Caenorhabditis elegans: one gene and its partner. The protein of the gene in region 1 interacts with the protein of each later gene in a pairwise test. Each region holds a gene or a part of one and is shown on either strand. Other genes may lie near its edges.

Region 1 (5,024 bases):
GTTCTCCTGAAGATTCAAGTCCGATTGCAGTTGTATTTTCAACATCCCCAGTAACTTCAGATTCTTTATTTTCAGAGAATTCTTTCTCCGGTGGATCTTCCTGTACAGAATCTTTCAAGTTCTCTCCAGAATCCTCCAAACCGATGACAGCTGCTGTTTCCAATACATAACTCTCACAATTGTCAATCTGACCTTCTTCATGTTCTAGATCCGTACCGATAAAGTTGTCTCCAGAAGATTCAAGGCCAATCGCCTCTGGAGATGCATTTTCCGCATCTTCCGGAATCACAGAACTGTCAATATCAGAAGATGTCAAATTTTTCTCATGAGCAGCGACAATCTCTGCAAGACCAGAATCCTCAAGCCCAATCGTTTCTCTTTGAACAATTTCCGTTACATCATCCTGTTTGATATCTGCGCTCTCACCAGTTTCATCAACATTTCCAGATGCATCGTGTTCTTTAAGTTCAGAAAATTCTTGATCTTCTGAAGATTTCAACTGTGATTGTTTCACTTCATCTCCAGAATCCTCCAACCCAATGACATCCAATTCTGAACTTTCAATCCCTTTGATGGGCTCTGGCTGCTGTTCTGGATCCGTACCAATAAAATTGTCTCCCGAACATTCAAGTCCGATTGGGGTTATATTTTCAGCAATTTCGGTCACTTCAGAAACTTTATTTTCAGAAAGTTCTTGGTTTGTTACAGTTTCCAATGCTGGTTCTTTCAAAATATCTCCAGATTCTTCCAACCCAATGACTTCTTGGGTTACTAATTCGGAGCTCTCAGAACCTTTAATTTGTTCTGTGCCCTTTTCTGGATCGGTACCAATGAAGTTGTCTCCAGACGATTCAAGTCTAATTGGGGTTGTAATTTCAGCAATTTCAGTCATTTCAGATTCTTTATTATTGAAGTTTTCTTGATCTGGTGCAGTTTCAAGTAAAGGATCTTTCAAAATATCTCGAGATTCTTCCAACCCAATGACTGCTGGGGCTTTAAAACTTGAAGTTTCCTCAACCGCTTCTTTTTGAGATTGTTCAGCTCCTGCATTTTGCTCGATGCCTGCGTTCTCTCCAGATTCTACAAGATCGATTGCTTCCGGATTCTTAGATTCTCCAACTTCTTCGTTCAAATTTTCTGCGGTATTTTCAGAAACTTCAGTCACTTCAGGCTCTTTAATTTTCGAGAATTCTTGATTTGATGCTGTTTCCAGTGCATGCTTATTTATAATATCTTCAGAATCTTCCAATCCGAAGACTGCTGGGGCTTCGAAAGTCGAAGTTTCCACAACCCCATCAGCAGAGCTTTGAGGTTCCAAATCACTTTTAGAAGTAGAATCATACTCTTGATTATCTTGAGTAGGTCCAATTTCTGCAACATATTCTTGTGTTTCTTGGATTATTGGTATAACACCACCTTCATCCTCAAGACCAATGAAGACATGCTGAACATCCGTATTAATTGTATCTTTTTCGGATTCCAAGTCCGCAGAATAATTTCGAATTATTTGCAATTTTTCGGCTGCATCTTTGAGAACATCAGATACAGAGGAATCCTCAATTTCATAATTGTCTCCTGTTGGAGTTGGCGTCTTAGAGTCCACAGATTTTACAAACGAATTTTGGAAAGTTTCTTCCTCAGGATCATCATCCAAATCATCCAAAGTGTCATTGGAAGTCAACTTAACTCTTTCGATAAAGTCTCTTGCACCTTCTCCAGCATTCGCTTCTAGGACTGTAGTGAATGACTCAGTTTCAGTCTGTTCATCTTTTTCAACTGGTTTAAATGTAAATTCAGTAAGTTCAGCAACATCTGTAACTTCTTCCACAACGTTATCTAGTTCTTCAGATGGTGGAATGTCCTCAAAAGTAATGGTTTCCTGAGAATCAATACTCACATCTTCCATCATTGGAATTGTATAAACCAATTCAAATCGACGATCAGTTGGCTCACGGAACAAAAGATCCACTTCGACTTCCTCATCCTCAAATTCCAATTCATCCAGGTTGATTTCGGCACTTTTTGAAATGGTGTAAGCTAATTCCATTTCTGAATTCTTTGGCTGACGGAACAGTAAATCAGTTTGCACATTTTCTTCTTCTTCTTCAAAAACTTCATCATCAAGAGGTTCATTGAGAATATCGTCAGGAAGTTGTTCAACTTCCGAATGAGAACAAGAGGACCCACCGGACTCTGACTCAGGAGTTTGAAGGGGTTGAAGAGCAAGTGGCTGGAGGGATTTTGGCTCATGCTCAGATGTTGGCTCGTTTGTGGAATTTGTCTCCTCTGAAATGACAAAAAGATTTTCCAAGGAAATTTAAGAATATTATTTTTTCTAAGTGAAAGACCTTGACAAAGCATTAATCTCGACCTTTTAAATTTTGATTTTTAATTATTTCAGTGTTTTTTTGCTTTATTTTTGAGACCTATAAATGCTCCAAAAGCTCTTTTCCGATATTTTAATATGGGTTTTCGAATTTGATTTTCAGATTTTTTTCCGAAATATATCGGAATCCAAACAATTTCCACATAATTTTGTCGACTTTTTTACCTTTTTATCTTTTTAAATTTTTTTTTATCTTTTTTAATGCCTAAAAACTATTTTTTGAATCATTTTTGCGGGATGTCTAGAAATAAACTGAAAAAATCAAAAACAAAAATTTCAGAGGTAGATATCGGATATGTGCCTACTTGGATACGTGGAACATTTATTAAAGTTTTTTTTCAGAAATTTTAAGTTAAAAAAGTTATATAATGCTTTTTCTTATGAACTTCAAAATTTTCAAAATTCACAAAAAAAACTAGCAAGAGATACAATCTATTAGAAATCAAGCTTTTTCAATTTTTTTTTTTCAAACTGCATTTTTACAAACTAAATTTAAAAAAAATATGAAAAAACACTCACCTTTCGGGTCAATCCAAATTGTCTTAACCAACTCAAAATTTGTGATCTCCGGTGGTTTTCGAAAGAAAAGTTCCACATCGACATTTTCAGCGTTCATTTCGTTTTCAGCATCCATGAAGTGGTGTTTTTCGTGACAAAATTTTTTGGAGCTCACAAAAATGTGCTGACACGAGATGAAGGGACCCCGAGGAGTTCACCATGTGATTGTATACCCTGCGTCTCCGCACAGGTACATGATATTTCTGCGGGGACAGCTGCCGTCTCACCGCAGGTGATGAGCATTTTTGCTTTCTCTCGGGGTTTTCGATCATCTCGCTCTTTTGTGCTATTTTGTTTTTCTTTTTGTTGTTGCCCTCTGTCTTCTTCTCTTTCATCTCATTCATCTCTTTTTCAGCTCAAACAGAGATCCAAGTCATACGTTTCAAATGACAATAGGGGAAAGATGGGGGTGTCAGTGATAAGCTCAAAATCATGGTGGCTTCAAAATTATTTAAAGGAAAGCACTTAAAAATCTCATGAAATGCCTGCCCATGAAAGAGAAACAGTTTTTTTTTCTGTTCTCGAAGGTTTCGAAATTAGTTTTTTCAGCTTCCTTTTATTGACCGATAAATCTTGCATGGCGGTCTGTTCACCTGTTTAAATATTATGTTGAAATCAAAACAGAGCGACCGTGTTTTGGAAAACACGCAGAGAAGCACGAATGTGAATAAGAAAAAGTCGATCTCAAATTTCTACGTCATTTGTTCAAACGCATATTGACTTATTTAACAGCCACTTAATTTTTTTCGAATTCACTGCTGATTTTATAGTGCTTATTGGCAAAGGAAATATTTTTTGAAAAAAAGTTCCAATAACTGACTTATTTTTGAATTTTTTCTGACATTCAAATTTAAATTCAATTAAAATTCTGAAACTGCCAAAACAACAATATATTTTTAACATTACAAATTTATTAAATTTTTTTTCAAATTCACATAATCCAAAACAATCGTTTATGTTGAAACCCGTTATAAAAAACCATTTTCTGGTTGATTTAAAAAATGACTTTCAAATTTATGAGCCGCGAAAATTTAAAATTGGCACATCTTGATTGTAAATAAATCTTGCAATTTTTAGTGGTAATTGCACTATAGAAGATATTTTGAACAATTCTCCTACTGACGTTTCTCTTTTTAAAAAAATGAGCCAAGATATAAGCTCACAAAAAAAGAAGCAGTACTAGTAGTAACAATATTGAAAATTTAGAAAGTCTGACATCTGAAAAAGCGAAAATAAATATAGCAATATGCAATTTGTCTCGTTTTTCCATGTTATCAATTGATATCAACTCATATGTTCATGGAAAGAGTGTGGTGAGTGACGTAAGCAAACAAACAAAATTGTTTTTATTTCCATAACCTCTATTTTGAAAACTTCCAACTGTTTCCATTCCCCCAGTTACAGTCAATTGTCAATCTATAACATACAAAAATGCCAGTTTATATTAGATACGCAGACAGCTAGAACATTTAAAGCACGTGCTGTGTCGGCTGTTCAGATGTAAGAGGGGCATCTGTTGTTAATCGTAAATCACATTGACAGGTAGGTCAGAGAGTTTTGATGACGTGGATTGGGGGAGAGGGTTGGGTTTCAGAGTTTTTTGTCAGAAAAAAGTTTTGGAAAAGAAGAAAGAAGTTGATCGAGTAACTTGAGAAAGTTGTGAAATGAAATTTTGAGAAAAAAAAATGAAAATGAAACAAAAAACAAAATAAAAAAAAAGATCGAGAGAAGATAGATAATTCTGCCAATAGAAAAGAAGATAGAAACCTAATGGCAGGTAATTAATTATATCAAGTCTAAATGAATCATTTCCAAAAAAAGGAAGTTGTCAGTATAAACTTAGTTTGAAGTAACAAAACGGAACATTCATATTTGGAATTCATGAAAGAGTTGACGGCATGTCAGAAAAGTTGGAGAACGTCAGGAAAAATTGGGAACTCAGCATTGTTAGAATTGCACCGTAAATATGGAAAATTATTTTTTATAGTGCTCAAAAATTGAACACAAATTGCACAAGAAATGTCTCAAAACAAAAAAAAACGTTTCTAAATAATTTATTAATTTTTTATTAAAAAAATCG
Region 2 (4,069 bases), on another chromosome or scaffold:
GCTTTCAGGTAAACTATGAGGAAGGCGAGTACTTTGCCAAGTACCATAAAATGAAGTTTATCGAGACGTCGTCGAGAACAGGAGACAATGTTAATGAAGCTTTTCATATGATTGCACAAGAGGTTTTTTTGAAAATGTTTCAATTTTATGATGTAATTTTCAAATTTTTAGATTCAAAATCGAGTCGACGACGGAGAACTGCGGCCCGTGGATGGCTGGGAAGGCCTTAAAACTGGTATTATGAGGTCACAATCCGTGTGCCTATCCGAAAGAAGTTTCCCTCAAAACAGCAGCGCAGGAGCTTGCGGATGTTGATAATTTCTCCTCAATTTTTTAATTTTCCCCGTAGTCATAATTTCGCGTAGCGTTCTTATAAACATCAAAAACTCAGCTATTTTGTGTACTTCCTGTGAGCTTTCTCCTTCATCCAGTGTCACCAACCTCACCTACTCTCCCGGCATGCATTCTTTTGAAATAATTTCTAGTCGTTCTGTCCAAAAACTTCAAAAAAAAAGATTTTTTTTCAAACTTTGTTGTAAAAATACAATTTTACAGTCGAAAAACTAGGAAATTATCGGGATTAGAAGAAAAGTAAGAATCACAATCACTATTCAGGACAACCTGTCAGGGGTATCGGGAAATATTGGTAAGTTTTAGAAGGTCTTGATTTGACAACAATTGGTCTTGGGGAAGGATGGGCATTTTGAGAGTGAATATACAAAATAGAAAGGAGAGGAAATAAATTAGATGAAATACAAAGAATTATGAGAAATTCGAGAAGTAGAAGCAATTGTTTATTGTGATCCAGAAGGGGCAGAGCAAACACTTCGAACATCCCAAATCATAATCACACGATTCTGTCCACTGGTAACTAGAAGTCCGAGAGTTTCCTGGAGATGCATAGCAGTGATTCCAGTATGGATTTCATGTGGAATTGCAAGTGGAGTAAGGCTAAAATTGAAAATAAGTTTCATCAGTCATTTGCTTTACAACTTACTTGAAATTCTGTGGATTATCTTTCATTCGTGCATTGCAGTCATTACAAATGCGAATTTTCGTCTCATATCCCATTGGTGGATAGGTGGTCCAGTTGTCACAGCAAGATCCACAGACTGCTGATCCACAGGTTCTGCAGTGATGTTGTCTCAATCCGACCACTTTCCTCTGCCACATTGCTTGAAGATTCCAGAAGAACGGTTGATTGCATTTCTGACAGCAATCCGAAGTTTTCCATTCAGGAGTCTCAACTCTCTTGCAATTCATGTCCCAGCACATGAGCTTTCCGTGTTCGTCAGCCGAGAACAGACGTTTGGCTGCTGGAGCTGCGCATAGTGTTGTCACTTTTCCATTGTGTCCGCTGAAAAAAACATTTTTTAATTTGGAAAAATCTATTTCAACTAAATATAATTCAACTTTTGCGCTCGAAAAACATCAACACTTTCGAAATATCACGTAAATTCCAGAAATATACACTCACTTAAGCTCATAAGCTTCTCCTCTTCCTCCTCCGATATCCCACATTATGATGAGATGATCACTGCTTCCAGAATACAAAACTTTCTTATTTCCGTCCCATGTGAGCGAGGTGATTGCATCTGAAAAATCATTGAACTAATTCAAACCACAATTACTAATTGTATTGATTGTGGGGAATTTCAGGAAATACTGGAATGTTATACTTAACAAATATTTTTCCTAGGCACGATAGCATTTAAAATTTCGAATTAATATTTTACTCAAAAAAAAAGAATACGATAAAAACTCACTCGTATGTGCACTAAGCTTGCTGACAAGATTTGGTTGATTATCGACAATACGAAGAACAGTGACATGCCCACCATGATCTCCAACGAATACAAATGGAAGATCAATGACCATTGCTGTACAACTATTTTCCAAAAGATAACTTCCCATCTTATTTGAATTTTCTGAACAATGCCAGACGATAGATTTATCTCGAGAACAGCTGAAAATGAGCTCGGAGGAGAGTGCAAAGCCGAGTCCAGAGATTGGTCCAGCGTGACATGTCCATTTTCGGGATTCTGTCATACTGTTAAAGTCATCGGCAACACTGAATTCATAGACATTTCCATTGATAAGTCCGACGAGCAGCCTGAATAAAAAAATTAAAAATTTAAAAAATAAAACGATTTAAACTTTAAACTAACTTATAAGTTTCTTCACTGTAATAAAGACTTGTTGGAGCAACTGGCATGAAATGATGAATTGACGGCCAAAATTGATCATTATCTCTTTTTAAGTACAGGCGAACGGATCTATCATCACTTGCAGTCCAGACTCCTTCGTCTTTTGATAGTAAAATGACGTCATTGATACGAGCCACGTGGCCAGTGATTCTGTGAAGAAGAGCTGAAAATTAAAATAAATTCGAAAATTACACAGGTTATGGAAATCAAATGGTTCGTTTTCAATTCACCAACCTGGTTTGGCTCCTCCCATACTTGATTCGCCCTGTTCGACGCGTTGATTGATTATTGCAGCCATAATGGCTGAAAATCTGAAAGAAAATCAAATTGAATGCCAATAAATGACACATAAAGTTTAGAGGACGGAATGCAGATGTTTAAAGCAAAAATCGATAAAACCACGTGTTCTCGCCCGTTTGTTTACACTTCTGCACCTTTTTTACTTTTGTTACTATTTCTGAACTAAATATTTCCTTGTGGAAATTGAAATTTTTATCAAACTAATTTTGCAACCGGTCTGGAAACAGATGAATCAGTGCCCGGTAAATAACGGAAAACCGGTGCGGCCGAGAATGAACTTGTTTGGTGGACTCTAGGCCATTGGCTGTTTTAAGGAGGATATTCAAATTAACAGCAACGTTTGAGCTTTTTATTTAATCGTAATATATTTATTCGCATGTTTCTATAATTTCTCAACAGGAAAATGACTGTTCGTCACGAGGAGTACATGTTCAGCTGTGATTTGAAGTGAGTTTTGCGGTTTTTATGTGAATTTCGTAATAATTTTGAAAAAAAAGTGCAAATGCATAATTAAAATTTAAAACAAACGAGAAAAATAGAGAAATTTAATGTTAAAATGCGCAAATAAAGAAAATAAATGACAGTACCGCAATTTTTTCAAGGCGCAAGAGTCAGAAAACCAGACGGGTCCCGCAACGACTTTAAACTTTTATGAATTTACAGGCCTAGATTTTCTTACTGTACTAATTTTTTTTAAAATTTGAGTTATATTTGAAATTTTTTGCAGAAAACGCCGAGTTTTCGAAGAACAACAAGTTTCACGGGCTCTTTTGAATTTTCGATGGACAAAACATATTCCTATGGGTTGTGATCAGACGGGGAAAGGCCATCAAGAAGATATTAGTGCGATTGATATAGATGATGGTGACCAAATGTTGGTTTAATTAGGAGTTTGTTTAAAAAAAATTGATTTTTCAGGCTACTATTTGGATCTCATAGTGGTTCAGTGTCAGTTGCCAAATATAAATACTTGGATCGTAAAAAGTGGAAGAAACCTATGACTCTGTATGTAACAACCGCAATAATTCTAAAATTTATCAAGATTTCAGAAAACTTGCGAAGCAATCTCTGAAAACAATAAAATGGTGTCCAATCGATCTTCGCCTTTTCATGGTTACAACAGCATCAAATTGGATGCGAGTTTGTGATAGTACCATGGAAAAAGTGGTTCATGGGAAACAATTTGAAGGAGATGTTTATTTTGATTGGAATGAGTATAATATGACAAATTCAAAAGTTGCCGTGGCAGATGGAGGGAGATCAATGAAAATTATAGATTTTAGGTAAGCTTTAAAAGTTCCACGAAATGCCTGCCTACGTGCCTGAAGGCTAGTGGATCTTGTATTGAACAAGAGCTATATTTTGTTATGACTGCCTAACTTTCTAAAACTTTGGTCTTACAATTTCCCCTGGTCGAACCTCTTGTCTTAAATTTTTATGAATTATTTCAAAATTTAAAATTTAATTAAAATTAATTAACATTTTATATTTCAAAATAAATATCATTTCAGAGTCGGAATGGATCTACCTCAATCGATATATTGGAATGATGAACCAATTGA

What was found.
Region 2: the proteins of ret-1 (region 1) and wdfy-2 interact in a two-hybrid assay, tested with the Caenorhabditis elegans proteins (2 studies listed by BioGRID).

Annotation. Positions count from the first base shown.
Region 1 is NC_003283.11:14,844,311-14,849,334, forward strand, and holds the start of ret-1 (Reticulon-like protein), read right to left. Parts: upstream 3,003-5,024; coding exon 2,906-3,002; intron 2,287-2,905; coding exon 1-2,286.
Region 2 is NC_003280.10:9,318,314-9,322,382, reverse strand, and holds wdfy-2 (WD repeat and FYVE domain-containing protein 2), read right to left. Parts: upstream 2,519-4,069; 5' UTR 2,506-2,518; coding exon 2,442-2,505; intron 2,371-2,441; coding exon 2,169-2,370; intron 2,114-2,168; coding exon 1,767-2,113; intron 1,596-1,766; coding exon 1,478-1,595; intron 1,358-1,477; coding exon 998-1,357; intron 952-997; coding exon 795-951; 3' UTR 505-794; downstream 1-504. Other genes in the region: Ras-related protein rab-39, read left to right, coding at 9-122, 172-315; csa-1 (WD_REPEATS_REGION domain-containing protein), read left to right, coding at 2,911-2,954, 3,235-3,381, 3,426-3,512, 3,557-3,790, 4,019-4,069. UniProt on the Caenorhabditis elegans protein: Plays a role in coelomocyte endocytosis.